Struthio camelus: one gene and its partners. The protein of the gene in region 1 purifies or fractionates together with the protein of each later gene. This does not show direct contact. Links are inferred from orthologs where the notes say so. Each region holds a gene or a part of one and is shown on either strand. Other genes may lie near its edges.

What was found.
Region 2: the proteins of LIN7C (region 1) and ARHGEF26 purify together in Homo sapiens (affinity purification with mass spectrometry; 3 studies listed by BioGRID and IntAct, counting the BioPlex papers as one, with this or other methods). This does not show direct contact. The link is inferred for Struthio camelus from reciprocal best matches to the Homo sapiens genes LIN7C and ARHGEF26.
Region 3: the proteins of LIN7C (region 1) and PALS1 purify together in Homo sapiens (affinity purification with mass spectrometry; 3 studies listed by BioGRID and IntAct, counting the BioPlex papers as one, with this or other methods). This does not show direct contact. The link is inferred for Struthio camelus from reciprocal best matches to the Homo sapiens genes LIN7C and PALS1.
Region 4: the proteins of LIN7C (region 1) and DLG1 purify together in Homo sapiens (affinity purification with mass spectrometry; 4 studies listed by BioGRID and IntAct, counting the BioPlex papers as one, with this or other methods). This does not show direct contact. The link is inferred for Struthio camelus from reciprocal best matches to the Homo sapiens genes LIN7C and DLG1.

Annotation. Positions count from the first base shown.
Region 1 is NC_090946.1:29,274,388-29,282,237, forward strand, and holds the start of LIN7C (protein lin-7 homolog C), read left to right. Parts: upstream 1-4,833; 5' UTR 4,834-4,870; coding exon 4,871-4,907; intron 4,908-7,850. UniProt on the Homo sapiens protein: Plays a role in establishing and maintaining the asymmetric distribution of channels and receptors at the plasma membrane of polarized cells.
Region 2 is NC_090950.1:32,963,551-32,970,998, forward strand, and holds the start of ARHGEF26 (rho guanine nucleotide exchange factor 26), read right to left. Parts: upstream 3,011-7,448; 5' UTR 2,992-3,010; intron 1-2,991. UniProt on the Homo sapiens protein: Activates RhoG GTPase by promoting the exchange of GDP by GTP. Required for the formation of membrane ruffles during macropinocytosis. Required for the formation of cup-like structures during trans-endothelial migration of leukocytes.
Region 3 is NC_090946.1:46,765,841-46,773,044, reverse strand, and holds the start of PALS1 (protein PALS1), read left to right. Parts: upstream 1-4,188; 5' UTR 4,189-4,394; intron 4,395-7,204. UniProt on the Homo sapiens protein: Plays a role in tight junction biogenesis and in the establishment of cell polarity in epithelial cells.
Region 4 is NC_090950.1:18,055,524-18,062,571, reverse strand, and holds the start of DLG1 (disks large homolog 1), read left to right. Parts: upstream 1-4,043; 5' UTR 4,044-4,094; coding exon 4,095-4,113; intron 4,114-4,277; coding exon 4,278-4,409; intron 4,410-7,048. UniProt on the Homo sapiens protein: Essential multidomain scaffolding protein required for normal development. Recruits channels, receptors and signaling molecules to discrete plasma membrane domains in polarized cells.

The DNA of each region.
Region 1 (7,850 bases):
AACTCCACTGTCTGAACAATTGTCACCGTGTACTGAGGAAAATGTGCTTGTGGGTGAAAACTGCACCAGCTTAAACATTATACCATCACCATTCACATACGGGAAGTGGTAAATTCTGTCATAGCGAAGTAGTGTTTGAAAAGAGTCTTTCCTTTTGTATAGACTACTAAAGAAAAGGGAAAAAGAGAAAAAGACAAAGATTTGTCATTGTTTCTCTGTCATGGAGGACTATTCTGTAAAGAGAAGACTATTGTCCTTAAAAATTTAATGATGAAAGGGTTCCCGCGAAGCTGTGTAACAGAGTGTACGCTCACTACATCACACAATAAGGTGCATTTGTCTCATTTGTATGAGGCCTTCTATAGATTTTTTAAGATATTTATGACTTCTACATATTTTATAAGTTTATTAAAAAGGAACACTCATAAGATACATACTTTCTTCTGCAAAAAAACGGATTAATTATTTTTGAGAATTAATTGTAATTAAGATTTGTTGATGCCCTGGTCTGATTCTGCTTCCTTTGTCAGCACTGTCATCAGTAAACAGCATTTTCATCTGTGCAAGAGGGGTGAAAAAAATGGTAATGACAAGATTTCCAAAAAGCAGAATAACAAGCAGGGGTTTCTATATGTCTGCTACACGCTCCCACACTTGCCAGGAGTGACTAGAAAAATTCTGAAACAACTCAAATAGTCAAATTTTATGTGGAAAAAAATATTTGGCATGGAGGTTAGGTGGCACATACCAAAAGGCTGGACTCTTTCTACACGTTAACCAGTGTGTGAGAGATTAATCAGAAAGTGTATTCTGTGACATGTAACAACCAAGCAAAAATCTGTTTTGTCACGTGAAGATAGAAAAATTGCAAGTATGGGCACAACAAGCAGGAACCACGTTCTCTGGTATGTATAAAACCCTTGACTCTGACAGGGACAACAGCAATCAATCACAGTGTGTGGCAGACCATGAAACTCACTCTGGGCTAGGCCAATGAATTAAGGCATTGCTGAAATTGCGAATACTAATACAACTGTCAGATTTAAAGTGATTAAATTCAGTGGTATTAAAGCAATAAAATTCTACCAACATGGTAGTCCTGAGGCAAAGGGATATCTTAATAACCTAAAAATTGAATTTGGACTCTCTTCACTGTCCTGAATCATAAATAAAAGTCCTATCATGGTTAATTCGGCCTGTCAGGTTTCCAAGGCAGACATTGTTCTCTGTGGGCAGCAGAGATTCCACTGCAATTTTTGTAAGTGAGTATTGCGTCCCGCTACCCATTTCTGGCCAAAATTTTTTTCTCCTCATTGGTGTATTGGGTTACGCAATTGTCAGCTCCCCCTAGAGTAACGGGCCACAAACTACCTTTGAGCAACTAGTTAGATAATTATTCAAGCAAAATTCCTTTCAGTTTTGACTTAACATTTGCCTAATAATGTTTAAAGTGCTTTGAGATCATTCTTGGCCAAGTGCGTGTGAAAATAAATATACAAATACTGTCTGTGTGGAATTTGTACCATCTGTGCATTAAAACAATGCACCAATTAGCACAGTTACTCTTCTAAAGATGTTATTGGGACCATAAAATATTAGAATACCATGTTCCAATGTTTTCTATAGCCTCTAAAGATTCTTACAGTCCCTCCTTGTGGCTAACACATACCATTGGGATGAAAAGGAAAATATTATCTACCAGGCCCCTGAGGAATGGTCCCATAAACACACAAGCATAGGCCTATACACATGAAAAATAATTTTCCAGTATAACTAAGACATAAGTTTGCACTGATAGAATTGCACTGGAACAAATGCACAGGCACTTTCTTATTCCCATTTTCATGGCTTTTTTGGTTTAGCGCATATTTAGTAAAAAAGTATTTAAGCTAAACCAAACCAAGCTACTCTTGAATCAGAATATCCACGAGAGCTGTTTGTGAGAACGTCTTGCTGCACTGCTGTAAATAGTACCTCTTTCTCATGAGAAGTTCGAGCGTGAACTCTGCACCCCAGATAAAGCTTGAATGAAAGTGAGAAAGTTCTTGAACCACTCTTCTTCCTGCCTTTTCCCTAGCTAATTCTGGAGATGTCCTTTAGTATCTGCACTCCCTATCCACCTGCCTATGTCTAACACCTAGAATAAAATGGCCCCATGGCCATGGCTGTAGACACTGTCATAAAAATATTATTAAGAACTTATGAATTAAGTAATTTATAAAGAAAGCTCATCCTCTTACTCATGCACCAAAACCTCTTCTCACCTAAAGTAAACTGTGCTTTCATCCCAAGCTAGCTCACACTAGAGACCGATTCCCACTTTTTCTTGGACTAGTAATGCAACTATTTTCCAATAAAGACATAGACAAAATCACTCGAGTATTGATATTCCTTCAACAGCAATTCTAGAGTGTCACCGCATCCACAAAAGACCTGCAGGACGTGTCTGCTCCCAGAAGTGTTACTGACAAATACTACAAATTGCAGCGTGAATGTTTCATACAGCTTTAAAGTGCAGCTGCTAACACTCCGGTTCATTCAGCAATGAGGATATAAGTACAGTAACCCTGACAGAGATTTCACAAGCAAGAATGACACAGCCAACGGAGTCTAAAATAGTAATTGAATTATACTTACAGTTAGCAAAATGCCTACAGTGAAGTTTATAGCTAACAAAATATATAAAGTGAAATGTAATGTTTACATCTTGCCTGCATCTCAGTCATTCCTGTGCAAATACCTTTTCTTAGTTATTCAGGAGGAGTACCCCCTCCCCCCCCTTTTGGGAATCACTTCTGAGACCTGTAGTGTATTTCAGGATAAGAGTTTGACACAGAAATTTTCATTTGCTGTTCTGTATTGTTTGATGATATGCTATTTGCTTTGATTTTCTTCCAAATTCTTGCCAGAATAGGGATTTCAAGACTAGGATGGCACAAATATTTTGTCACATAAATTTTGAAGCTGTCAGTATCCACCTATGCTTTTTCTTTTTCTTGAGCAAAACATAGCATGTTATAAACTCAGTAGTTAAACTCATTCTCTTCTTTGGGGCAGGATCAGACTTATGACTTATACAGTGGTTACTTCCTTGATGCACTAAAATAACTCTGCCATAACAATGCCTAGCTTTTTAACTTGGACCCTGTTGCAAATATCTCGAAGTCTGGAAAAAATGTGCTGAATGTTACCTCAGAAAGGAAAAAGTAAATGGGTATATATGCTTTTTTCTTTTTCTATATAGTCTGCTCTTTTATTTTCTTCCCCTCCTTTGTGGTCCTCCATTGGCATTCCATTTCTTCTTCCAGGGGAATATCAAGCCTGTCACTCTTCGGTTCTCCTGCAGGACATGGAAGAAGTGTACACACCAACTTTTAGCCTTTTTATTAAAAGGGACAGCAATGTCAAATTTCATTTCATAGCTTTATTTCATTTGCATAGTTTTCAGTTGGTTGAGCTCCACAGGTGTTGTGAAAAAGCAAATACCCCAAAAGAATAAGCAGTTGCTTCAATTGTTTCTTTTCCATTATTTTGTAAGACTGTAACTCCGCTAGTCTTCCTGCTATCCACAGAGCTTCTAGTGTAAAGACCTAACTTTCTCAAGTAAAAAATGTTTAGAGACAGCAAGTTCCCTTCTGGGAACAAAGGACAAACAATGATAAGCAAGTATTCAATTAGCAACGCTCTTCACAGGTCATAAACCAAAAACCCAAACTACTTCTTCCTTTTTTTTCCCCTACAGCTCACCAGTGTGCAGCTATAACTCAGTGCAGATTGCTGGAGCAAAACGTTTGAGTTGGATGGGGCTATGATGCAGACAGTGGAAACACGATATAAAATTTGCTTTCAGGTTTTATTATTCTCATAACGTTGTATTTCAGAGCAGAAAGGTCTGAATGACAGTCCGTTGTCCAGTTCAGTGGGTCTAGAGGAAAGCAGACCAGCTGTTTTACTTCTGCATCTTCAGTCTTTACTGAAGTCAAAACGACGCTACTCCAAAGATACATTTATTCTTGTCATGTGCCTTCTGGAAAAGCCTTAGATTATAGAAACGCTGCCTAAAACTCATTTTCTCCCTGGGCTCATCTGTCCAGAACAGGCTGTTTAAGGTGTCGATCACTTGGAGCAGGATGGTAGCTCTTACACCACTGGGGCACCAACATCTGGGTTTCATTCCAGAAACACTCTACACCTTCCACGGTTCCAGCTGCTAAAGCATTTTTTCTCGCTGGAAACGGGTTTAATGCTGTCCACCTGTGAAACTCCCACTCGTGTGACCTTCTCACCGAAACGCGCACACCGCATCCTTCACACGGAGGGGCACTGGCATCCAAATCAATCACAGACAGCAGGGAGAGTACATCCCTGTCACCTCGGCTGCCGCTTTTAAGACCTGTGGCTGACCGAGCAGAACCAGTCTCTTTCAAAGCAAAAAAGGCAGAACGCACCCGGGCCGACGTCGCCCGGCCGCCGGCCGCTCTAGGTGCGCAGCCCCCCGCCCCGGGCTTTCCGGGCGTACAACACCACAACAGAAAAGGCCGGGGGGTGGGGGGGAGGACAGGTCCCGGCAGATGCGCGGCCGCCGCGCTGCTCTGTGCTTTAGGCAGGCTGCGGGGCCGGCGGGGGGGGGGGCGGCTGCCTCCCCTTGCTCACCAGCCGGCCGCGCAACGGCCGCGCAACGGGCCGAGCGCTCACCGCTCCCAACATGGCGCCCGGCGTCGCCGCCCGGCAGCCGCTAGGGCCACGCGCCGGGGCGGGGCGGGGCGGGGCCAGGGCGCCCCCTGCGGGGCATCGCCCCGCCCCGCCCCGCCCCGCCCCGCCCCGCCCCGCGGCGCTGCGTCACTTCCGCGGAAGCCGGCGTGAGGAGAAGATGGCGGCGCTGGGCGAGCCGGTGCGGCTGGAGCGAGGTGAGTCTGTTCCCGGCTCTGCTGCCGCGGCCGGTCCGGTCCGGTCCGGTCCGGTCCGGTCCGGTCCGGTCCGGTCCGGTCCGCCGCTACTTGGGCCTGGGCCTGGGCCTGGGCCTGGGCCTGGGCCTGGGCCTGGCGCTGCCGAGCTGGGGCAGTCTCTCTCGGTCTCGGGCCCCAGGGACGCGCCCGGCCGGCCCGAGGCCGCGGGATGGCGGTGGCGGCCCGGCCCGGCCCGGCGCTGTGCGGGGCGGGTCTGCGCCGCCCTGGAGGCGGCGAGGGGGCAGCCGGGCAGCAGATGGCCCTTGAAAGTGTTTTCTCTCGGTGCCGGTTCCGTGCCTGCGTGGGTTGGTCTCGCTTCTCTGGCGTTTTCTTTCGGCAGGCGCCGAGGGTTTTTCTCTTGCTGGGCTTCGGCTTGTGAGCGGGTGGCGGCGGGCGCTCCGCCGGCCCTCGCCCCGACCGGCTGTAGGTGCGTGTGTGCAGCGCCCTCGCTGGGGTCAAAACTTCCGCCAGCAATTTACGCGACCAGCTGACTCCTTGTTTCTGCCTTTTCCACTGGATTGTTTACTCTTGATCAAAGCTAAATTCTTGAGTTTAATTTACTGCACTGTGTCTTAGCAGCAGGCCTTGTTTTTTTTTTTTTTTTGTACAGGAAACTTTGCATGAACAAACAAAACATTTGGTCATGAATTTTGCTTAACTCTTTACACTTTCATGTTTCTGTCTTTGGCCTGACCTTGTCGTTTTCAGTGCTAAGTTGTACTGCTGATATTGTGTAGTATGTAAGTAGAAGCAGATAAAATCCAAAACTGAATTGTCTGTTTCTTCTGTAGTACACGTCTGTGTCTCTTATCCAGCATTCTATGAAGCAATAATAAATTCCCTTCAGTATGGCTCTTCAGAATTGTGCCAAGCCCACAGGAGCTCTGTGAGGGCATCCATGTATAAGCAGTATATATGACTGGTATATTAGGATGTATGTAAAAATAGTGAATGGAATATGGAATTTTAAAAGAATAACGAGAATCAAGAATTCTATTCTTGAAAAGCAAAGCAATTATATGAAGTGTAGGTGACTTAGTTGAATTGATTATTTTCCCATTGCCGTTCCCTTTGGGCCCACCATCTTTGCTCAGCATTCTAGATGCTTCTGTATGGATGTGTAACTACATATTTTATATGCCCACTTCTTTGTGGTTGATACTGTTAAGTGTTACTCACCACAGAATTCAGTTCTTCTGTTTGTCTCCTCTCCTTACTGTTCCACAAGTAAATCACTTGTAATGTGTGAGGGAAGGTCTGTAAATAGTACAGTACTTATGTAAGAACTTTACTTCCCACTCCACAGCTTATCTACCCTCCCTCCTCCAAAGCTTGTTAATTAGAGCAGCTGCTTTGGCGGTGGATTAGTTGCTCTTGGTAGGTCTGCTGAGTTAAACCTCAGGCAGCATCCCTGTCCACCTCATTACCCTGCCACTATGCTCTACGCATGAAAAACAAATCTGTGCAGTTACTTAGGGATCAATGGAACAAAGGAGCTATTTAAAGTCTTCTGGCACGTTAGTCTTTTGGAGAAAAGAAGAAAAAGGGACTACAGTATAATGTCTGTATAATGAAGCTACAGAAGTAAGCGCTTTCTTTACAGAAATAAACAACCTCTGTTAATTCTATGGGGTTGACTGCAAATAACCTTATGAATCGTTGTCAGCATGAAAATGAGCATTACTAATGTTGCTGGCGTATAGCATAAGAAAAGAGAGGCTACCGTAGAAAATGTGCTGATTTAAAGTGGTTACCATATGCTTACTATCAGGGCAAATGAAGATTCTCCCCTTCTGTTCTTTCCTCTAAGCTGTATCACAGCCACCACCACCCAGGTTCACGGGAGTGAAGCGATGAAACAACATTTAACGTTTTGAAGTTGTTCTTTTAGCTTAGTGATATATATGATAAATCGACATACACCTTAGGAATGCAGACTATTTGAACAGAAGCAGCAGAAGTGGTTATTTAGCAATGTCTAACAATGCAATGTCTGATGTTGCGTTTTTCCTCCTTTCTATGTTTTGTTCATACGTATGCATGTGCAGAGTGGAGGCATTTTGCCGGTTTTCCACGTTCTTGGTTTAAGTGTGTTTTCCTGTCAGCACTTCAATCTGGTATCTTGTGGTCACTAAACTTGTGAAGAACAGGCAACTAATTTAAAAAAGAGGAAAAGGTTCAAAGAAAATCCATTTTTAAATGATGTGTGAGTTGAGCTTTACAATGAGTTTTATGTTTTTTATCACCTACCTCTGGAGTTATTTTTGCATCATTTCTGGCTTTGAAGGATTTTAACAAGAAATCTGTAGTGTTCATTTCAGTCTCTGGTTCTGAACAGTTGGCCAAGCTATAGTGTTAATATAATGAGGAAGAAAGCTATCAGCTGATCATATCCCAAGCAGTAGTTCAGGAGGAAGCAGGCGAGATCAACAGAGCTGTTGGCATCCCTTTCTTTTGTTCTCTGTGCACAGCTGTAAGAAGAAGATACTTTACCGCCTTTTCCCAGCTGGCTAGTTCCTTTCCAAAGCAGTAGAGCATTGAGACAGAGTGAGTCTTCAGCTTTTGATTAGCATTGCATTGCTGCATTAGTTTGGTGTGAGAAAGTTATGCTCGTTTCACTTTCAAACTAGTATAACTAGGTCCTGTTAAGGTGGTAAAACAAAGTAACTGTTGGGGGGAGAAAGTGCTGCTAATGGGATCCGTTGTCTATACCTACCTGATCAAGAGAAGCACTGTGTTAAAAGCCAATTTGTAGAGTGCCGAGTACCCAACTTTCCTATTCTGTGTGTCTGCTTTGGTTTTTTACTTCTCAGCAATGTTCTGGTCCTTTGATCTGAATGCTCATTAATGGTGCAAGTGCATCTTCTGGTTTAGTTGCATCCAATTCGTGCACACTGTGTGTGT
Region 2 (7,448 bases), on another chromosome or scaffold:
AAAAATTCTGTTGGCTTCATTGGAAATTTCAGAAAGACATACAAGTTTAGACTTCACATAAAAGTTCTGCTGCACATGATTCTTTCAAGTAACTAGCCACAACTTTACTGCTGTCCCTGCCTGCTGGCCTTGAGCTTGCCCTGCTAGAAAAACAGCGTCCTTCTTTCAAGGAGGCTTTAAATATATAAGACTTGTGCTAGCTATTACGCAATCTAGACAGCATCTGCTTTTTACCTCTAACCTCTTAATGCAGCACAGACATGCTATCTGCTGCTTTTGTTGGGTATGAATGAAGTTCATCTGAAATCTTGAGCAACTTTTACTGAACACACGTTCCATCTTTAGGCGCTGACCTCTGCTCTTACTGTAAACTGAAGTCAGTAGACAGTCTAGCATGCTGAATCTTTACCTCACACTGCTTTGTGCAATCCCTTTATTATTTCTGTTTACTTATTTTGACTTACCACAATTAATAGAAGCAGTTCTGGCCTCAGATCTAGGCTGTACTTTGCATAGATGCATACGTATGTATATACCTACACAAATACACAAAATCAATTATAATTCCACGAATTTCACCAACTTCTCCCTTCAGATTCATTTTCCCTTTTGACAGAAAAATCTTCTTTATCAACATCATACAGAAAAAAAAAAAGGTATGCTTTGAAACATTCTCTAGGAGTCAATTAAAGGAGATCAAGGATAGGTGGGTACGGAGGAGGTCAGTGGGCTGGCTCCGGGTTTCAGAAATCTCTGATCTTGATGAGCGCGCAACTGAGTATGGCAGAGCAAGAAAAGTAAGACAGAGGTAGGCGGGTATCTGGCTGTTAAAGTTTACAGACCAGAGGTAACATCTTAGGACCTGGTAATTACTAAGGACTAAGTGCAAACAGTGTCCGCACAACATGCTCTATTCAAGACGTGTAATAGTGCTAAACTGCCCATTCTGAATCCTGTCTGTAATTAGAGCATGGATGGATTCTGACTGACTGTTGGGTCCAACACTAAGTGAACTTCAAGATACGGAGCCAATACTGTTTGCATCCAAAAGCCTGGGAAATCCTGGTCATCTGCAAATAAGATAAGCAATTGCTGCTCCCTGTCATCGCCTAGAAGTGGAACGCCAGCCAACCGCCTTTGTGTCAAGCTGAACAAAACCAGGGGTACGGAGTGTGAATCAAAAGAGCAGATATCACCAGCACCCTACCTTGCAGCTGCTTCTGTCACCTCAGGATTATCTAACCTTGACAGAATTAGTTTTGCTATTAACAGATCACTGGACAAGATGACCACATATTTTAAGACCCCAGGCAAAACCTTAGATATAGAAAGCCAGGGGGACAAAGTAGAAGAGGTTGCCTCTCAAATGCAGTACTTCGTTTTGCCTGCCCTCAAAGGTTACTCTGCTTTCACTATATCAGAATATATAGTGTAGGATGAAGCTCAAAAAAGGTTTCTGCAACCTAATGGCATAAAAGCGCTTGTATCAGTAGGATTATTTCCAACTGAGGAGTAAGTCCTGTTTGTCTACTTACTTTATGTAAGTAGGATTTCATCCACGTGAGCAAATGGACCGCTAGAAAATAAAAATCGCCTCTCACGTTTAACTAATTACCATGGTACAGACATGTTCTATCCAAAGACCAATCTTACTATAAACGATAATTGTTTTCCTAACTCCAAAGTAAGAATTTATTCATGAAAAATACTTGTCGTCTAAAGCTTGCAGTGCTTACCGATGGGAAACCTGAGAGTCTAAGTCTATTGATGCAGGTCAGGGTGGTAGAAATGGAGGAGAGACAGCTTTGCACTCTACAGCATGTCAGAGAGCATTCTGCAAGCAAGCTGTAGAAAAAGAATCTTTGTCTTTGTTGCAATTTGTTGTCACAGCCTTGATCTCATTTCTCTGGCAGCTTCAAATGATTCTGTGTATGCAAAGGTGCACCCGAACTAGCTTGCACTTAGCCTTCATTTAACAGGACCCATGCTCTTAAACAAAATAATGACTCAGCATAGACGACAAGTAGCAGTATCTGTGCAAGCGTCTGATTTACCCTTTTAGGCATTTATAGAAGCATCTTTTCAAACAGAGAATTCGAAGTTGTTAATAGAACAGCTGCCAGTTTATTTGTACTGTTTCTTTCCTATATCATACATAATTTTATGATACCAAAATCATGAGATTAAATGAAGTTCTTTGAAGCAGAACGTTGCTGTAAAAACATTGTGGTATTCCCAAAACAACACATTTTAGTGACATTTTGGAGAAGATTTGAAGTTATTCCAAATTTCTTAAAAGTTTTAGAATTTCCTTCAGATGGTAACAAGCTACCCAAAGGGATACTGTGAAGAATATGCTGAAGGTTGTTAGATAAATTTATTAGTCACTGTATAAAATAAACTACCAATACATAGTTTAGCCTTTGGCCACAGTCTATTATAACCCTTGAACGTACATACTTGCAGCTACAATCTTTCCACAAAGGCAGACATATTAATGTCCTATTTCTAACTGTTTTTTTTAATACCTAAACACCGCCAGAAGGCAAAAGAAAAAAAAAAAAAAACGTAAATCACATTCTATAAATCTTCTATCTATTAAATCTCATTAAATCAGAAATTCTGGCAAATGTAGACAGGGCTTATGATCAAGGGAATGAGCTTTCTCCATCGCAAGCTAAAGATGCCTACAGAGCTGTCCAGATGAGCGGTCCCCACTCTTCCCATAACTGAGGCTCACTAGGAAAGCTGACTGTATCTCACATCACTGGTGTACCAATAAAGATCAGTTTCCTTCAAAACAAAAAAGCCTAAAGGGACACAGCTTCATTAATGACATTATGTCAAACAGTAAGTGAAATGATGATATTAAAAATTATTTAAAAATAAGTATGCTTTCCTTACTAGCTCTGATAGCCCCTCCTTGCCAGTTAGCCGCCCTCTCCACACCCTACTCCTCTGCTGGTTTCTGGCCCACCCTTTGCCTCTCACCTGACAAGGCTCTTCCTTCTCAGCCGGTGCGTTCCCACAGGGAGCACTGGCCCCACTTTCACTGCCTCCTCCAAGGCATTGCAGAGCTCGACCCTGCTTCTTCATGCAGAGGAAGCAGCCACGAGCAGACAGCACTGGCGACTGCCCCCAGGTACCTGCAGGAGCCCAGAGGTGCTGCCTTCCCAGCTGCTCTGGTCTGCTGCGTGCAGGAACTCAGCTGCAGCTGGAGCTTTGCCCCAGGTGGAAGTAAGTGAGATAACAGGAGTGATCAAGGGCAATTTGTCTTTTTGCCAGAGCTGCGCTTCATTGACCAGAAATGACCGTTCTGGGGAAGGCTGCCATGATATATTCATCTATTCTTTAGAACCAGTGCCAAAACAGCTTTTCTCTTCTGCAAGCTGTGTTGCCACAGGCAGAACCTAAAGCAACGGCGTGGACAGATAACATTGAGCAAACCACAGCAACCTGCCTCTGTGGCCTCCTCCAGACAGGAGTGCAACCAGCAGCCACCTGAGCCAGGCTCTGCTGCGCACAGGAGCTCCTCCTGGTGATGGGTCTTCCCCCCCGGCAGCAGCTTTACCCAGGGGTGCCGTGACTCTGGGCCCCATGGTCGTTGGCATGATGCACTTCTCAGAGCGCAAGAGGAGGAGAGTAGCCCACGAGAAATGGGGTGCTATTTTTCAGAGAAGGTCTGAAACAGAATCTTTTCAGGCTCAAAAATGTTCAGGCAGGTGATTTTTCCCCCCTCCCCTAATTTCTGGCGGGGTCCAGAATAACTTACCCGTTTATGTGGTTTTTGTTAAGAACTACATATGGAAGTGTCATGGAACTCACAAAAAATCTAAGCTAAAATGAAATTTGTTCCTACGAGGTTTCCACCTTAAACCACAAGCTTGCGAGCATGAGACTGACGTTGAACATCCAGCAGTGACTATTTAAGGAGCGTGTGTGTGTTGGGGGGGAGGCAAATCACAGTGCCTTGCAGATTACAACCACAGCTTTACAAATAGCAAAATGTCAAGGATTTTTATTTGGTTTTCCCTCAAAACAATACAAGGCAGCAAATCTCCTGCAAGGACTAGGAAAAAACTAATGGCAGAATCTGGCCTTATATGTTTATTCAGTCTAACTCCAGAAGTACCTACAGCATTTTGTCATGTGTAAACACAGGCTAGCTGGCTATTTTTAAACTCATTTAATTCAACACATATGGGTTGAATTCTGTTAGAAATATCTTTCTGATGTAGTTACTGAAATTGCCACTAGACAGAGCTGTTTATCTTATTTTTAATCTCTGAAATACTCAGGACTCACAATGACAAAAGCAAAGCAGTCATGTGCCAGAAATCCAAGAAGAGTTTGCATTCTAGAATCCTTCAGAAAAATGGCATGTGACTAACAACTGCGTGGCACTTACAGCTAAGGGTTATTTTTTGCATCATGCTATATAAAGTGTCATCCCTGGAGCTAAGGGGCTGCATCTGGACTCAAATTCTCTAGTAATTCGCTAAGAGCTAGCGAAAAGAGATGACGGATGAAGAAAACTGTTTTTTTTTTTTTTCTTCCATTAAACTACAGTGCACCTGTTGAAATTAAAAATAAAATTCCTAGAGATTTAAAAGGACTGTGAGAAGTCACTTATTCTATGGTTTACAGTCAACCACGTTTTACCAGGAGAATCTTGGAAAGGGGTACCTATCACTGGGGGGGGGGGAACAGGAAATTCAGGTAGGCGACATATGTTAAAGTCATCACTATGAGTGATAGTAGACTGGATTCAAAGACTAAGACAATATAAACTTGTTAAAATATAACATTACAGTTTAATCACTAAACAGTGATATGGCTTACTGCATATGCTTTAGTATCCATCTGCTTTACTGTCCATGACAAAGCAGCAGTTCCTCCCTCCAAGTAATGCAGAAATAAACCCTGTAATTAAGTGCCTGTTGACATCACAGAGCTATGCAAGTTTATATCATATCATTATTTGGTATTTTCTAATAAATCTAGGGCAAAACATACTTTCTTTAAAGAAAATTAAGTGCTTATTTTGAGATGAAGCAAATAAACAGATAACAGTATTAGCATCAATTTTCCTAGGGATCACATCCTGATTCACATTGCAGGCAACCAAGAGCAGGAATTTCTGGAATTTCTGCAGCTGTAGCTACAGTATTGATTACATGTTGGGACTGTGATTTGAACAGCTGTGAAGCCACAGCCAGCTCATATGAGCTGGTGTTCTTGTATGGTCACAGCCAGTCCAAGTGCAGAATAAAGGAAGTTCGTGTAACTTATCAAAAAGTTTTGATTCATTTCTCAGCTGGTACCAAACATGGGGTATTCTAGTGTCAGACAGAGCAAATGTTGAGGCAGGTAACTTACTGTTAGGCCAGGGAGTCTTTGAGAACATCTAAAGGCTACCACAGGACTTAACTGTCTATCCACCACACTTGAGGACTTTGGGTAATGCATTTGTTGCATAAGAACATATCTCTGGAGTCTTCAGCTCTTCCTTCTCACTTACTCAGCTTAGTTCAAAGTTTACTTTGCTTTCAGTCTCTTGCACCGGTTGCAGACACAACCCAGAGCGTCCTCTGGTAAGCTGCATGCATCTCCCCTAGGAGGCCGCACAGGGCAGCGCAGACACTTCCGTGCTCTCCCTCAGAGCCCAGGCCAGCGTCACCTTCTTTAGATTTGTATTAATGGTGTACTCCTGCTGCTGGCTGGCCTACATATAGGTTTTCTGAGTTGAAAGAAACTTAGGAGTTTGCAGTTGCATTTCTATTTCAAATTTAAGCCAAATCCAGGCTTCTTTCCCATTTATCCTCCTGCAACATTAAAGCCAAACTCAACAATAATTACAGGTGAGATAAAAGAAAAGTAACCAATCTGACTTGGGGTTCCTCACTCACTTTTAACAGTAAAGTAGACACTGAATACATTGAGTTTAGTTTTGCTCTGTCATCAGTGTTTCTTCCCTCAAGCACAACGGAGACCTGAGGCCAAGACTTACACACCCTGTGTGCACGCGCGTGCATCTTTGGGTTTGTGAACGCGGGGCAGATAAAGGTTACAGTACAGCAGCACTTACTTTTGGCAAAGAGAGCAGGGAGGAATGGGTTAATATATAAGTGGCAGATTCCTGGTTTGGGCCCGCTTAGCGCTGAAGAGCTGAACTCCACCTTTTCCTCAGCGCAGTACACAGGCCCAGCCTAGCTATTAGCACATCACACAAGACTAATTTAGTATTTGCAGTTTCCAGCGCTGATGATTTCTATAAAGCTTCTGAAGTCAGTGGCACTTCTTGGATCTATTACCTGGCTTGTGAGTCCCTCCTCACCTGTTGTAAAATTCTTAATTGAAAGCATTAAGTGTTCGCTACTGTCCGTAACCCTAAACGGTCATACCCAAGTGGGGAGCTTAAAAAAAAAAAAGGGGGGGGGGGGGGAAGGGAGAAAATGATGATCCTTTTTTCAGTTCCTCTGATGATCTTTGGACATTGGCAAAGGATTATTCAGATTTTAAAGATGTACGAGGCAGAAAGAAGTGTGGACAGGTGTTTAAGAGAAACGCTGCAGGGAAGATACAGGCACGGGTAGAGACAGCCCACAAAGATCAGAAGGCAACACTGACCATGTGACAGACTGCATATGAGAAAGAACTCGGTACAAAAGGAAATTCTTTCTGCATTAATAGCAGAACTTCAAAAGCCATAGAAAATGCTTCACAGAGCAATGTAAAACTGTTTCTTAATAAATGATAGCTATTACTCCCTAGTAAGAATTGAAATATTACATGTTAACTTTCCATTTCTTCCATTCCCCTTTTTCCTTCCCCCTATATTCCAGCACCACTTTATGGTACTGACTTGGAGCTTATAAATGTTAAACGATCATGTGATTCAGAAACAGAAATTGTATTTTCTTTTTACTTGGCTTCAGTTCTTATTCTTATATTGCCGAAACTGGCACAGTTGCTGTGGTGCAAAATCCCTGGAATCTTCTTTGGATACAGGTGATTCACATGATTTTGCTTCTTTTGCAATTCAAAATACAATTTTTAAAGCCTTCACATCTACATTTTTAAAGATATCCATTATTTGTAATGAAATTGGAGGCCAAGGTCAGATCCAGTTCCTTCAGATTAATGGCAGACCTTTCCTGAACGTGGACCATTCTGACCTCTCTAAGACTCTACAAATAAGGACAGGCTTCTCAGCACGAGGAAAGTAGGCAACGGGAGTTTCTAAGAGCCACGGCCAAGCTTCCTTCCAGAACACTCCACTAAGATCTTCAACAGACTTTCTGAGCAACGGGACTGACTATGGTCAGATCCATGCCTGTGGTGTACAAACAAGTGCTGCTACTGTTTTCAAAAAAGTATATTTGCAACTTTTTCTTCTTGGTCAGACAGCATATCCTCAATTAGAGTTGCAGCAATTCTGTGCTAAG
Region 3 (7,204 bases), about 17 Mb from region 1:
TGAATTTCTGTTCGATTTATGAGTCTATCTGTAAAAACTGTGACCTTACTTGGAGTTGTACAATTTGAGATCTGAAGGCCTGAAGTGAGGCAGAGAATACCAGAAGCCAGAGAAGATGTTTCATCCAGATGAACGTAAATGTGAAAAGTGGTTACTGGATAGAAAGTAAAGGACAGTTCTAGGTGCTATAAAGGAGGAAAACATGACAATCTTTCTTTGAGTCCCTGGTATTTGTTGTGGTAGTTCAAGAAAGGCTGAAATGAAATTGGATTGCTCTATTAATTTCAAGGTTCAGGGTTTCTGCTGCTGGACTATGGGGGCCAAGAGAGATTTTTTTTTTTTCTTTTCTTACTTAAAACATAATTTAGCTTCTGCACTTTTAGTGATCTTTCACTCTTCTTTGAAACACTAAATACTGGATACAGCTGGCCCTACAGGTGCACTAGTTGATGTGTCTTGCTTACATGCTCAGGGTTAAACTGGTCACTAGATTTGAGGCCCGGAGAGATCAGATTGCTATAAATCAGAGCGGACAGGCCACTGTGGGATATTTTCATTTCCCCTGCAACACAGGGAGGATAGGTAGGAGAAGTCTAAGAAAGAAGGAGCTTGCTCTCATTTATTTTCAATTAAAGGAGACATTAAAATGGGAAGGGAAAAATCCTTATGAAGTCCTTGGACACAGGAGGAGAAGAGCCTATTTATATAGGTGCCAGTCATGAAATTAGAGAGCTAAAAAGAGGAGAAGACGATTTCTCAAAACCTCGCAAGAATAAAAGATCAAAAGGGAAAGGGCAGTCAAGATAATGAAGAAACAGCAGAAAGGTCAAGAAAGAGGATGGAACACAGACCCCGCCTTCAGGTAGGCAAGAATTCTTCAGGGATTCCATTAAAAATGTTTTGGCAAATAAGAGGGATCACACCAGTTTGGAAGGGATCCAAGTTGAAGTTGGAAGAGAAAGTACATCTGTTGTAGACTACATGTTCGGTGAGTTCAGAGATGAAGAGTTTAGAGATAAAGGGGAGGAGAGTAATGGGGCAGATAGATGGGGATTTCTTCTCCTCCAGCCTTTACTAACACAAGCACTGTTGCCACCGTGGCCCTTCTGACTTAGCATTCCTTTTTGCATCAGCCTGTAGAACCGCTCCTGGACGGTAAAACATAAATTCAGTTATGCAGTGATATAAAAGGGAATTTCTACCTAGTCCTTCTGTGATTTTTCATTCCCCCTCCAGAGGGCAATGGTTTCAAAGAAAACAGTTGGTCCTATGTTAGCCTCAGGACTCAACTTCACTGTCAGAAACATTTTTTTTTATTGATTACAATCAGCCAGATTTAGAATGATCAACGGTTATAGGAGTACCCTGCTGGGAGACAGTGATCCTAACTCACTTAAAAGTTATTTCATCAAAGATAAGCATTTTCTTTGTAAACGAATTTGTTTGCGGAATGAAAGAAGGTTCTACTTTAATAATAAACTAAGTTGCTTAAATACATTGGTTCTGTAGCTCCAAGTATGCTTTGATGATCCCATAATGACTGACAGTAAAGCCATTAGGAAGTGCATCTCTAAAATCAAAATGTTCAGGCTCCAAACTCATAAAAGGCCTCAACTGTGTGGGTATTTCTTTTCCGATTATCTTTCACCTGAAGATAATCATTAAAAGCTTTGAAGAAGAAGGGATGGAACAGCAGAGGCAGTACTCTGGTAAGTAATTTTCTGATTTCCATTAAGAATTGTCTTAGTAGATCCTCATATCAAAGATCAGTCAGCTAAGACAAAATAAATAGAGACTTTCCCCATCATTTTTCCATTTCCCTCATCTTCCTCATTCTCCCATTTGTCCTCTTTCTTTGTAGCTCTTGTTTTTAATTTGCCTGTTTTGTTAAATTCAAGCTGGAATGTTGGTTTTCCCACAGCAATTTTTGTGTTCTTCAGCATACTAATAAACAGTACCCACAAGGCAAAATGAACTGGCATTTAGATCTGTTCATTTAAATTGCTATCACAAAGATTTAAAGGAAAAGGTTATCTGGCTCTTTATGAATAATGCTGCTGATCCTGTGCGCTATTGTGAAACCTTTTTCAGGTATGACAATTTCTTGGTCTGAGAGAACATTTTAATCTGTTGGGTAGAATTAGCCAAGCATGCCTCATTCAAGCATCTTATGAATGGATTTGCCAGCTGGGCAAAGGCTAATATTAGGGTTTGTGAAAGCCTGAGGGAGGAGATTGGTTACCAAAGAAACAAACGCATCTTTAAGCAGCTATATTCAAGAGAAATCCCAAGCTCAGCCTTAACCTGGTCTGGCAACCCTTGAAAAGGATTAAAACTTTAGCTACAAATATAAGATAAGAGAACAAAGGAGAGAAATAGAAAATCTAAACTGGTGCGAATGTTTCTCTGATCTGTGATAAACTGCGTAACATTTTGAAGAAAACTCCTGTGTTTAAAAACTGGCTTTGGGCAACACACACACTAGAGGCACTGAGATTTTCACTGAGAGTGACAAGCTGTCAACTGAGGGAAGCTGTAACCAGAACTTGTGGCTTTTTTAGTCTGTTCACACCAAACTTTGATAGAGAAAAGAGAGTAAACCAGCGATCGGTTTGGATGAGGATGAAGACGAGACCACTGAATAGCCAACTGCTAAACGTAGACACTTTTTGTAGCTATTGTAACCTCTAAGCAAGTATCAGATTTTGAGGAAGTCTTTTTTGGTTCTCAGGTCCTTTCCCAAAACAGTGTGTAAAAAAGGGTTCACGTGAACCCTCACCATTTTCATACGAAGGTGGAAAGAACTACTTCTGGTGCTGCTCAGCCATGAGTTAGTACTGTAATGTTCTCCCTCCGTTTCCTTTGCAAAGTAAGTAATTCCACAGTCCACCCATATTGCTATTTCTTGTACTGCTTCACTTTTTCCACTCCTGCTCACTTGATTCAAACGCCCTTGTTACTGAACAAGGTCAGAGCTGAAACAGTTGATTCTGATAGTGAAGAGACATTGCTGCTCTGAAAATGAAAAACTCCAAGGGAGCCTGAGCCACAGTGTGAAAAGGTCTTAACAGTGTCCTCTGCAACTGACCGGACAGGACGTACATTAACGGCAGGTCTGTTGGCCATGTCATATGCTCAGGAATCATGGAATCTGGTTTTGTGGCTTAAACAGAGAGAATCTGCGTGTTCAAAAGGGATCCAAACAAAACATGGTATAGGAAGGCAATTTATAGGAAGTTAGAAGTGTGGATTTCATAACTGAAAATGATAGAGTTGTAATGATTAAACTGAAGCAAGAAGAGATGGGCAAAAAGGAGGTGTCTCTTTAATGGCTTTTTAGTGGCCTACGAAACTGTTTTTTCTGGCCTTGTTATGTGGAACTAGCTACCTTGGCAAGGTCAAGTCATCTCAGACTGCTGTATTTCTTTTAATGCCTCAGGCAACGGTCTTCGCAGGCTAGCCTGAAAAACAGGGGGCGGGAATGCAGTTTTTAGTTCAAAGTCAAACTAAACTGCAGCGCTGAAGATGTATTTCCCTGGTCTCGTAAAGCAGCCACGGTTATAGACCTGGTAAAACCGTGTTTAATGACCTCTTCCCTCCACTCCAGACAGCGGGTCTGTGCCTGACCCTCTCCCTGCTCTTCCAAAGCTGAATCTCAGAATAAGCATTTTTCTTCCCGTAACAGTCCGACTCGGCCTTCGGCTGGGATTGCGAGGCGACAAGGGGAGACGACGGGCAAGGAAGGGACGGCGGCGGCAGGCAGCGCCCCGGGCCCCCGCCAGCCCAGGCTGCCGGCGGGAGGCTGCAGGGCGGCGGCGGCGGGCGCAGGCCTCGGGGAGGACGGAGCCGCCCTTCAGGGAGCAGCGGCTCCAGCTGCGGTGCCCCGGCGCGACCCAGCGAGCGCCGCGCAGGGGCGGCACACGACGCCGGCGCCACGGAGGGCCTGGTTTCCGCCGTGCCCCCCGCTCGCCTCTCGACGCGAGCCGCCTGCAGCCCTCGCCCGCCCTGGAGTGACCATGACGGCAGCCGTTGGCGGCCGCCGCCCTCCCTCAGCGCCCTCCCCTCCCCCCTCCCGCGACGCGCCCCCTCAGCCGGGCGGCTCGCGCGCCCCCGCCGGTTGCGGCGGGCGGTGGGCGGGTCCCGCGCGTACGTGCGTCGGGGGGGAGGGGGCGGGGCGGCGGCGGCGCTGGGAGCGGGCGCGGGGGCGGGGCCGGGCCGGGCTGCGTTTGGCGGCGGCGGCGGCGGCGGCTGCGCAGCTCGGTGGGGCTGGAGCGGTAGTTGTGTCTGTGCGTGCGCGGGCTCGGCGCGGGGACGTGCGGGCGGCCGGCCGTGACTCCCAGCCGGTGGCTCGGCCGGAGCGTGACGACGGCGGCGGCGGCGGCGAGGAAAGGACGGTGAGCGCAGCCCGCGTTGCGGCGCGGAGCTAACAGGTCCCGGCGGGCAGCCGCCAGCCCGGGCTGGCTGCGGAGCCTGGCCGGCGGCCCTGCCCGCGGCGCCCGCACGGGCCTGCGCCTCCGGCCGCGCCGCGCCGGCGGCCGAGGCGGCCCTCGGGGGGACCGGGCAGCGCCCTGGCCGCGGAGGGCGGCCCGGGGGGGCGGCCCTGGCCGCGGTGGTCGCAGGTGCCTGCGCCGTTGCCGGGAGCGCGTGGGGCGGGCGGCGAGGGGGCCCGGCTCGCCCCGCCGAGAGCTTCCCCCCACCTCCGCCGCCGCCGTGCCGGGGCGGCTGGCCGGGGCAGGCGTTGCGAGGGCAGGCCGAGAGGTGATAGGAAGCGGCTGTTCTTCGCTGTGCTCTCCGTGAGGTGGCAGGAGTGGCCGTTTTGTTTGGGTGGGGGGGTGGGTGGGGGGGTTGTTTGCTTTGTTTTGGTTTGGTCGGTTTTGTTTTTGTTTTCAATAAGGGCGCACTTAATGCTTCTCTCCCTTCTTGCACTTCCGATCTGCCGGCAATTCCGTGTTTTGGAAACTTTTGTCTCTGTAAAGAGACCGCCGGTTTGTGGAGCTTCGCAGGATTAGTTTAAAGTAGGTTGAGTATGCCCTGGACTGCCAGTGTAGTTTAATGATCTGCAGTGGGGAACGCGCGTATTGGTGAGGGCGCGGCGGTACTCTGGAGGCTGCGCTGGGAACGTCCCTGCCCCGGCGGTGCCCTCCTGCCGGGAGCCCGGGCAGGGGTTGCGCGGGCAGGCGGCAGAGAGCACGGTGACTTGGAGCGTGCGACGTCAGCTTGCGCGAGTACCTTAAAGGACTTTGTATTTGGTCGAACTGAAAACTGTTGATATTTAAAAAAAAAAAAAAACTGTCCAAAATAATGACTTTAATGTCTCATAGGTGAGACAGACATTCTGGGGGAAAAAATTGAATAATCAGGAATATGAAAAGGGGAAAAGTCAGCTTGAAGCCCTTATAATTGAAATGTTTGGGCATAAACTAACTGCATCAGTTAGAAAAATACTTGTGTTTTGCATAACTGGACGTTGTAGTCGAGCTTTTAAAAAGTGACTGGTGTTTTTCTTTAAGTGTCTGCCGCGTTGGTGCGCAGCTTCAGGCGTCTTGAAGGGGCCTGTCTGTCTCTTTGGAGAATTGGGGTGTTTTTCCTGAATTTCCTAAGAATAGGATATCTTTGATGTGTCTCTGGTTAGGCGTCTGAGCCTGTAATCTTTTCTTTTTGATCTGTCATCTGAATTTTCACAAATGCTACTTCTTTTTTCTCATAATCACCTTAGAACTGTAGTTACACATTTAAATGTCCAATGCTGTAGAGTGTAGCTGTGTTTTGTACATATATTAACTGTTTGCCAACATACTGTGATCCAAAAACCCTCTGTATTTTACATGCTAAGCTGATGGTTTAACAAAGCATCAAATATTTATATTGCAGCACTTTGTGAACCAGTGTACTACAATGTTAAATTTAATTAACATTACTCTTAATACACGATCACTCTTTTCAAAGTAGCCCTTTCAAACTTTGCCTCCTTCTAATGTGTATCATGTGTCCTTACGGAGTATGGAATAGTTATGGGTGGTAGTTTGTGTTCTGTAGGAATTAGATGATGGTAAAGGTGGTGTTTTTACTTAAATTTTACTGAATTTGCTTTCACAAGATCTGAACTTACTTTGAAATGTAAATCAAAATATTTCTTCAGTAGGCTGACTTAGCTGTCTTAGGAATTTGCAAGAATTATTCAGACCATTGAGGGGTGCCGGGCAAGCAATATGTGATGTAGAACCAGTAAAAATGTAATATGGAGGTTAGCCTTTGTACCGAGGATTATGGACACATAAAACAATGTAATCTGAAGTTTATGTGTGTCTGTATATTTTTTTCCATGTAAATAATTATATTTTCATAACACTTTATTTGCTGCTTTGTAATCAAAATCTCTTACTATAGTGAGTTTGAAGTTGCAATCTTTCAAAAATCCTGCGGCATTTGTAGATGTAAATTCTGTTATGATGTTTCCTTAAAGACTGACGCTTAACATCAAATAATAAAAGTTGTAACTACCTGTTTCAACTATTCAGATTTCCCTAATTTGCACTTTTGATTAACTACATTCCTAATAAAATATTAGGCTTTAGAGTTCTGGTAGCTAAGAGTTCAAACAGTCCGCTGCTCCTTAGAAAAAAGGATCAGTATTTGTGTTCGTATGTCAAATTTAAAGTTCTTAAACTTTGTAGCATCTGGCCATTTAAAAAAAAAAACTTCTTAATGTGACAAGTAGTATTATAGAAAGGCTTGATATTACGGTGTTTGGATAATGGGCCAAGTGAGGCATTTGTGAATTTGAAAAGATATGCTGGTACATATGTGATGGAAACTGACTTGGTGGAAACACGGCCTATTCTGTAATTTTAAATCAGGTGTGCTGTAAAAAGTATTTTTCTAGTATAATTATCTACTGAAGCGCTTTATCCAGCACAGTGCTTTATCCAGTTCTGGCGGAATAAGTGTTTTATGTTTATGTCCTCCTCCCCACGCTTCTGACATAACTATGTAGTGAAATACTTTAAATATAATTCAAGTTGAAATGTGAGGCAGATTTCTAAACAAAAGGAAAAAATTATAGCCAGATAAGTTATTTATATGCCAGGATATTTTCAAATAAGCTTTTTTCTTTTTAAAGCAGTTGTGATATACTATGCCTATCTATTGATAGACACTTGTTTTATAGTCCCGAGGATGTCCAATTGCATACTAATGAAGAGCT
Region 4 (7,048 bases), on another chromosome or scaffold:
TCAGACATTAGAGAATCTAGACGAGGTGAGGCATAATAAGCTAACTTCCTTCAGACTTCATTCCTTATTAGCCAGAGGAAATTAGGCTTCATTACTTTCATTGCTCCCCCAGTTAGCTGTGCAACATTGCATTGAGCTGCAAGGGAAGTGAAGTGAAAGCTTTCTGCAGCTGTCAGAGATCCTTTTATGAGTAACAATTCCCAGTTCTGCATGAAAAAGTGAAATCATCTGTGCCGTATGCTTATATGGAGACTGCTTTTAGTCTGTAGGCATTAAGCAGATGACAAACATAAGATATACAAACGATTAACTTTCTTATTTTCAAGTTTTTTCATTAGTAACCCCAATATCAAAAACACCTGAGTTTACAGCAGTTCTTTTTGCCGAAGTTACCGATTCTGGCAATATGCCAGCTTATGCACTCGTGTCCAACTTGAAATAAATAATTGTACCATTATTTAGTTAGTTAGTTTACCTCACCTTCTACTCTAATGCCCATCCTCCCTAAACAGAGTTCATCTGAGCTCATGTTTTCTGGGACATACTGGTTATTGCAAACTGCTGCAATGTGGTGACATCCGTTGTCCTCTTTGTCCTGTTTTCTAGATGGCCTTTGCTGTGTTGATTGCTGCAGCGTGTGTGGATCTAGCTAATGTTTCTTGAAGTCTCCTGATCTAAGCTTGTCGTACCTAACCAGCTACTGCGTGTGGTGCCGGGGCAAGCCAGATTTACTTACATTCCCATCCTGAGTGGTCTACGCGGCCATCAACATGTTCCAGTGGGACTCAAGGCTAACAGGGTAAGAAGTTGGAAAGCGCCCCCTGTCCCCGCACAGTGAGGTGCCAGCTATGCAGGTGTGTGGAATGGCACAAAGAGCCATTTCCAAAGCAGCTTCTGGCAGCGAGTCTGCCCGAGGAGCGAGTGCGCAGGCAGGTACAAACCCCCGGCTCGGGTCACTGCTGTGATCATTTTCAGAGCAGGTACCTACCAACAAGCTCTGACAGTTTCTCAAAATGAGAAAACATTGTCTCTGTTTAATTATGGGTTTGTCAACAGGGTTTACTAGCCTCCTGCACACAGCCTGCACACAGCCTGCTTTTCCCTTCGTGCATGGATTGTGTGGGCTAGGATCAAGTTATGAATATTTCTCCACATCTGGGCAATACACTCGTGTTGTGTCTGCCTCCTGGCTGTCCCAAGCTGCCTGCTCTCGCACAGATATGCCCCAAAGCACAATCTCCTTGAATGAGTGGAGCAATGCATGCCTTGTGGCAAGTCTCCTGCCCTTGCCAAAGGTTCGGTCCCAGACAGAGGGTCCCACACAGGCTGCTGACAGCAGTTGCAAAAGAAGGATTTTAATGGCGGAGGAGAGGAGCTGTCTGTCAGATCCCCGGCTGCTAATGTGGGCAAGAAGGCTAGAGGGGAGGCAGACACTGCTTCTTGGCTTAGTTCTGCTGGAGTTCTTATCCCAAGGGTCGCTCTGGACTCCAGCCAAGATACGTTGCGCTCAGCATAAAGCTGACTTGTATGCTGACCACATCAGTCACAAATTAAGCACAAGCCTTTCTGTATGCTGCCTGTAATTGTTTAATTTAAATTATATTGCTTAAACCGTGGCATAAATGATGGTCTGGTTCGTATTGAGTTTTCCCCCCTCTCCAAGGGAACTACCCAATTTTCTGAAAACTGGAGCCTGAAAAATAAGACGTGTAATAGAGGGCAGCTTTATAATACAGGCTCTTACTGTAATGTGCAAATATAAGCGTAGTCATTCATTCACGGGATATTTTCTATGTATGCTAGGTGCTCAAAACCACTTTGTATACTGAAGTTTAGTACTGTGCAACCTGGTTCAACCACTTTCAGCCAACAAATATACTCCTAGAACTGAAACAGAAGTGCCGGGAACCAACACCACTCTCTGAGGTGCAATAAGGTTCACCTAATTGCTTCCTGGCTTGCTGATCCATCATCCTGACCCTGTCTTTGATGTGTGTTTTTCTTCCCAGAGCATTAGTAACAAGCGATAAATACTGTTTCAAGGTGCTGTATGGGGTTATTTCCCCATTCCCAGCACAATGAGTATATATTTGGGGTTATCTTTTATTTAAAATAAAAAGCCTTGGAAACATCAAATCCTGCTTATGAAAGAGTAGTTTGTTTCTTATGCTGGTACCTTTAATTGCAAAAATTTTCTTTTTTTTCCTCTATAACAATACTTTTCTGTCGCTCAGCAAACCACCCTAACTGCTGCAGATGTCTTTCTGCTAGCTAAATTTAGGCTGTTCTTCCTCTCCCTCTGTATACATTTCCCTGACATCAAGAGGACTACGGCCCCTTTAAAGTACATTTATTGCTGCTGTAAACAGTGGAAACTGAAGAGGCCAAACAATGAAAGCCTCTGCCAGTGCTCCTTCTTGACACGTTTTCCTTTAAAAATACATGTGAACTGGTAAAATTTCGTGCCAAAACTCTGAAAGTATGAAAATATGACAAGAAAGGAGGAAAGTGGGAAATGTGTGTCAGTATACATTAAATGTATATTATAATGTGTTTTCTTCAATAAGGTATGTGAACAATTTCACAGTACATAGCTGCGGGGGGAGGAGAAACTGCTAGTGCAAATCTAACTAGGAAACATGGGAGTATTGGAGAATGCAAGAGAGGCCTTTCCCAGATCTGGGTTAGATTTGTTGCAGGGTAAGTTTTCCCTATTTTAAGATTAGGACCACAGCCAAATCTGGTCCTGATTTCCAGACTGATCTTTTCAAATTTGCATGAGTTTTCCAGATGTTTTTTAGCTACCTGGTTTAAGCTCTTGTACATTTTCAGCTGTATCTAAATCCAAAAAAAAAAAAAAAAAAGCGTAAAGAGAGATGCAAGCCTGGATCAAAAATCACATCAGCGGGATTTGCTTTGAACTTCTCAGCATCTGCCTCTCCTACGCACACACACGGAGTTTGCGGTTTTTCAGAGCCGAGGTTTTTCTGCTTGAGCTTCCACCGGCCCGAGAAACGAGTAACCCCTGGCCGAGACAGGCACTGGAATTACCTCCAATCAGCGTTACTACGTGTGCGTTTGCCCCGTTAACGGGTATATCGATATCGCTGCAGGGATCGTTTACGTGGCGCATGTTTCTGACCGCGTCGCTCGGGGCTCGTTCCGTCTGCTGTCTCTCCCCCGTCACAGCAAGAACCTGTTTGCGCCTCCTTTGAGGGCGCCTCAGCGCAACAGGTAGACGCCGGTGAGCAGCGCCGGGCCGGGCCGCCCGGGAGCCGCCGCCCGCAGCGCTAACTAACGGCTGCCTCGGCCGGCCTCTGCGGGCTGCTCCCCGCGGCCGGTACCGGGGCATCGCCAAACTTCCCCGTGCGCCCCGCTCGCTGCGGGAGCGGGCGCGACCCGCCGGGGAGCCCCGCACCTGGGGGGGGCGGCGGGCACCGCGCCGCGGTAACGGCCGCGCCGAGCCCCACCGACCCGCCGCGGGCTCGTCAGGCTGCCGCCGCAACGGGCGCTCCCGGAGCGGGGCGGGGCGGGGCGAGCCGGGGCGGGGCGGGGCCGGGTCCCATGGCCCGCGGGGCGGGGCGGGCGAGGCGGGGCCGGGCCGCAGTGCCCAGCGCCGGCCCCTTTAAGGCGGGCGGCGAGCGGCGAGCGCTCACCTTGCCTCCTCCTCCCCCCCCGCCTAGGTACCGGCCCCGAGCCGAGCTGTGCTCTGATTGGGCGGTCGCCGGGCCCGGTCACGTGGGGGGGTGCGCTCCCCATAGCCGCCAGGCCGCCATTTTGGCTGGAAAGTTTGGAATTTCCGAGCGGCGCGAGCGGGAGGCGGCGGCGGCGGCGGCGGCGCGAGCGGCCGTGAGCCCAGCCCAGCGCGGCCCGGCCCGGCCCTCCCCTCCCCGCCTCTCTCGCGAGGCGCCGCGCCGCGGCGGGCGCGGGCGGGAGCCCCCCGCGGAGCCGCTCGCCGGTCGGTCGGGCAGGGAGGCAGGCGGGGCCGGCGCCGCGGCCGCCTCCGCCCGGCCGGCAGGGGGGGCCGCGCCCCCCCCCCCCCCCCCACGCTGCGCCGCGCCGGGCTCAAAGTTTGTGAGGCGGCCGGGAGCGCCATGCCCGTCCGGAAACAAGGTGAGCGGCGGTGGCGGCGGGACGGGCGCGGAGGGCGGCTGCCGGCGGGGGCGAGGCCGCGCTCTCGGGGCCGCCGACAAAGAAGCGGCCGGGCCGGGGCGGCGCGGAGGGCGGCGGCGGGTGCTGGCGGCGCGCGGTGACCTGTGGCCGCTCTCCGCCCGCAGACACGCAGCGCGCCCTGCGCCTCCTGGAGGAGTACCGCGCCAAGCTGAGCACGGCGGAGGACCGGCAGCTGCGGAGCTCCATCGAGCGCGTCATTAGCATCTTCCAGAGTAACCTCTTCCAGGCGCTCATAGGTAACGGCTGGCTCCTCTCGCCTTGTGGGCGTGCAGGCGGCGTTGGCGTTGACTCGCCCCTGCCGGGAACTCGGCGCTGTGGTGGAAGCCGGGTGCTTTTTCTCATTGTGTTGTTGTTTTGCATAGTAACGCACGTGCTGTTACAGATCAGCGGTTCGTTTGCTTTAAACAACTTGCCTTGCTCTTTTGACTGGCCCGATCTGCTTAAAGCTCTGCAGTCTGGTGCCGTTGTTTCTTCTGGGACGTGCCGCTCTAGACTCCTTAACGCAAGCTGTTTCTCCACTTACATCTTTTATCTGCCTGAACGATGTATAGCAGTGTTCTTTCCTGTGCGTCGTTATGTCACAGGTTAGTGAATGAGTTGAAGTAGTTTTACTCTAAAGTAGAATTTGGGCAAATGTTCCTGGTCTAAAAACGTCCCAAAGTTTATATTTGGAGTGCAGGGCTAACTTAAAGTGAATGAGAAGAAAATTCAAATCTTTTGGGGAAGGCTACCGTTTTCTCTTTCACAACACTAGCAGTAAATGAAGGAAGACATTACTGATTCTTAGTGTAGCGTACTTGTAGTGCTTATTCACTGAAAATGTTCACATAAGTCTCGTTGAAGTACTTGTAGGTAGTTTTGACTTACTTGCACATACACCTGCTTGGAAAAAAAAACGGAGCATGACTATAACTTGTAGAATCTTGACTTTGTTTTGAAACTTTTACGGGGAAGTGTTAACTTAAAGATAATGACACCTAATCAACGAGAAACTGTGTGTCAGCTAAAGAGTAAATGTTTTACTCTTTAGAGTAAACTAACAAAACTCTTAAAGTTCATTATCCTTGTCTTTTAGTAAATGGAGTAATTAATCTGTATCTGACTTCTGTAGAAACAAACATTCTAGCTAGCATGAGTTTACTTTTGTTACTTGGCATTTACATAACTTGTTGCATGTTTAAAGTATCAGATGAGTGTGCATGTCACTTCATAGTACTGACTTCTTTGAGTCTAAATTGTGTTGGTAACATGGGGACAGGCAAAAAACATAAACATGCGTTGCTGCATTTGGAATGTTTTGTTTGGAGCATTTCTTTATTCTCGTGTAGTTTTTCAGAGGATAGTCACCTTGCTGTGTTTTTGTGAGATAAGTTATTGAAAGCTAGTTGTGAAAACAGGTCAGTTCAAGAAATCTTGTACTTCAGAAGTGTTACGTGTTTCTCTTCAACAGTCAGTTGATGGTAGCTACTCCATGGTGAAAAACTAGTCTAACCTTTGTGGGATGTGTTTAAATAAGATTCACTGGTGGATCAACATGCTGAAGTCTTGCGTTAGAAGCTTGAAGTGCTGCAGTCAGGCTTTTTATTTTCATCCTGGAAATTTTCAGTGTTGGTTGCCATTTCTTCTTCATTGTCTTGAGGATCCATGAAGTACTATGTGTTTTCTCCCATTCATTGAGCAAGATACTGGTCTATTTACATAGCATTAGCCTTTCATATTGTAACCTGTAACACGTGCTTTCTTATATCCACATAAGAATTCTCATCAGCTCTGTGCTTAGCAGTAAACTTTGCAACCGCATATTTGCTGGCTTCTTTCTGCAAGAACAGAAAACGGGAATGGTGGTGTTGCCTGGGTGGACTATGTAGCCTTTTCCTCATCTTATAAGAAGTTGCATGTTGCAACCATTTGACCCCAGTTTTTCTCTGGTGTGGTTAATCTGTGCATGCACAATAGGTATATGCTTCTTTGCATTTACAGATTGATTGAGCATACACACATACACTCCATAACAAGAAATCATTCAAACTATTTCTCTGAAAGATGGTAGCACAGAAGACTTGCTTTCTAAGCATTTTATGCTCTCAACCTCAGTCTTTCTCCTTTTACTCCCCCCGCCCCCATGGAAATACATCACGGGAGTTCTTGGTAGTGACAGGCTATTGTTATTCCTGGAAACATCTTTGTGGTGTGACTACTGCATGATGGGGTGAGGAGCAGGTTGGAGCAGTGGGGACTCCCTGGAAAAGATGGTGTCTGGAGGATGGCTGCAGTTACTGTGAAGATCTTCAGCCTGCTCTTGCCTGCCCTCTTTCCTTGGACAATTGGGAGCAGGCTGGATAAAGGTTTTGGTTGTGCTGCACGTTAGATTTCCCTGGAATACAGCATTTTTCATTACTTCATAGTTGATTCTTAAGTACAACTCTTCAAGGAGTTGGGATGTGTCTGCAAATTAAACATCCAAGGCTGCTTTGACAGCAAGATGCAAGCTCAGCTATGAAGTTACTTCTCATATAGATACTTATTCTGGAAAGCAAGCTACTTCTAGTTTCTGAATTTTTAGAAGAATAATAGTAAAATCAAAACACCCTAATCATTTGTCCCCTCTCTCTTTCTTCCGAGTTGATGTATTGAGAGTTGCCTGTCAATGATAGGTGAGGATGTTTGTGAAGGCTGCAGTCAGTATCTGCTGTCAGCTTCATGCGTCCTTTTTAGTACCCCAGTGTAATAATGCCTGGTACTCTCAATTAAATGACTACTCGGGCCTTTGATTAAAATCAGCATGAGAAGTAGTATTAGTTTTAAGTCCTGTTGTATACTCTCAGAATTATGGTATCTTTTCTAGCTTATATTTTCTTGATTGTAGTTAAAATAA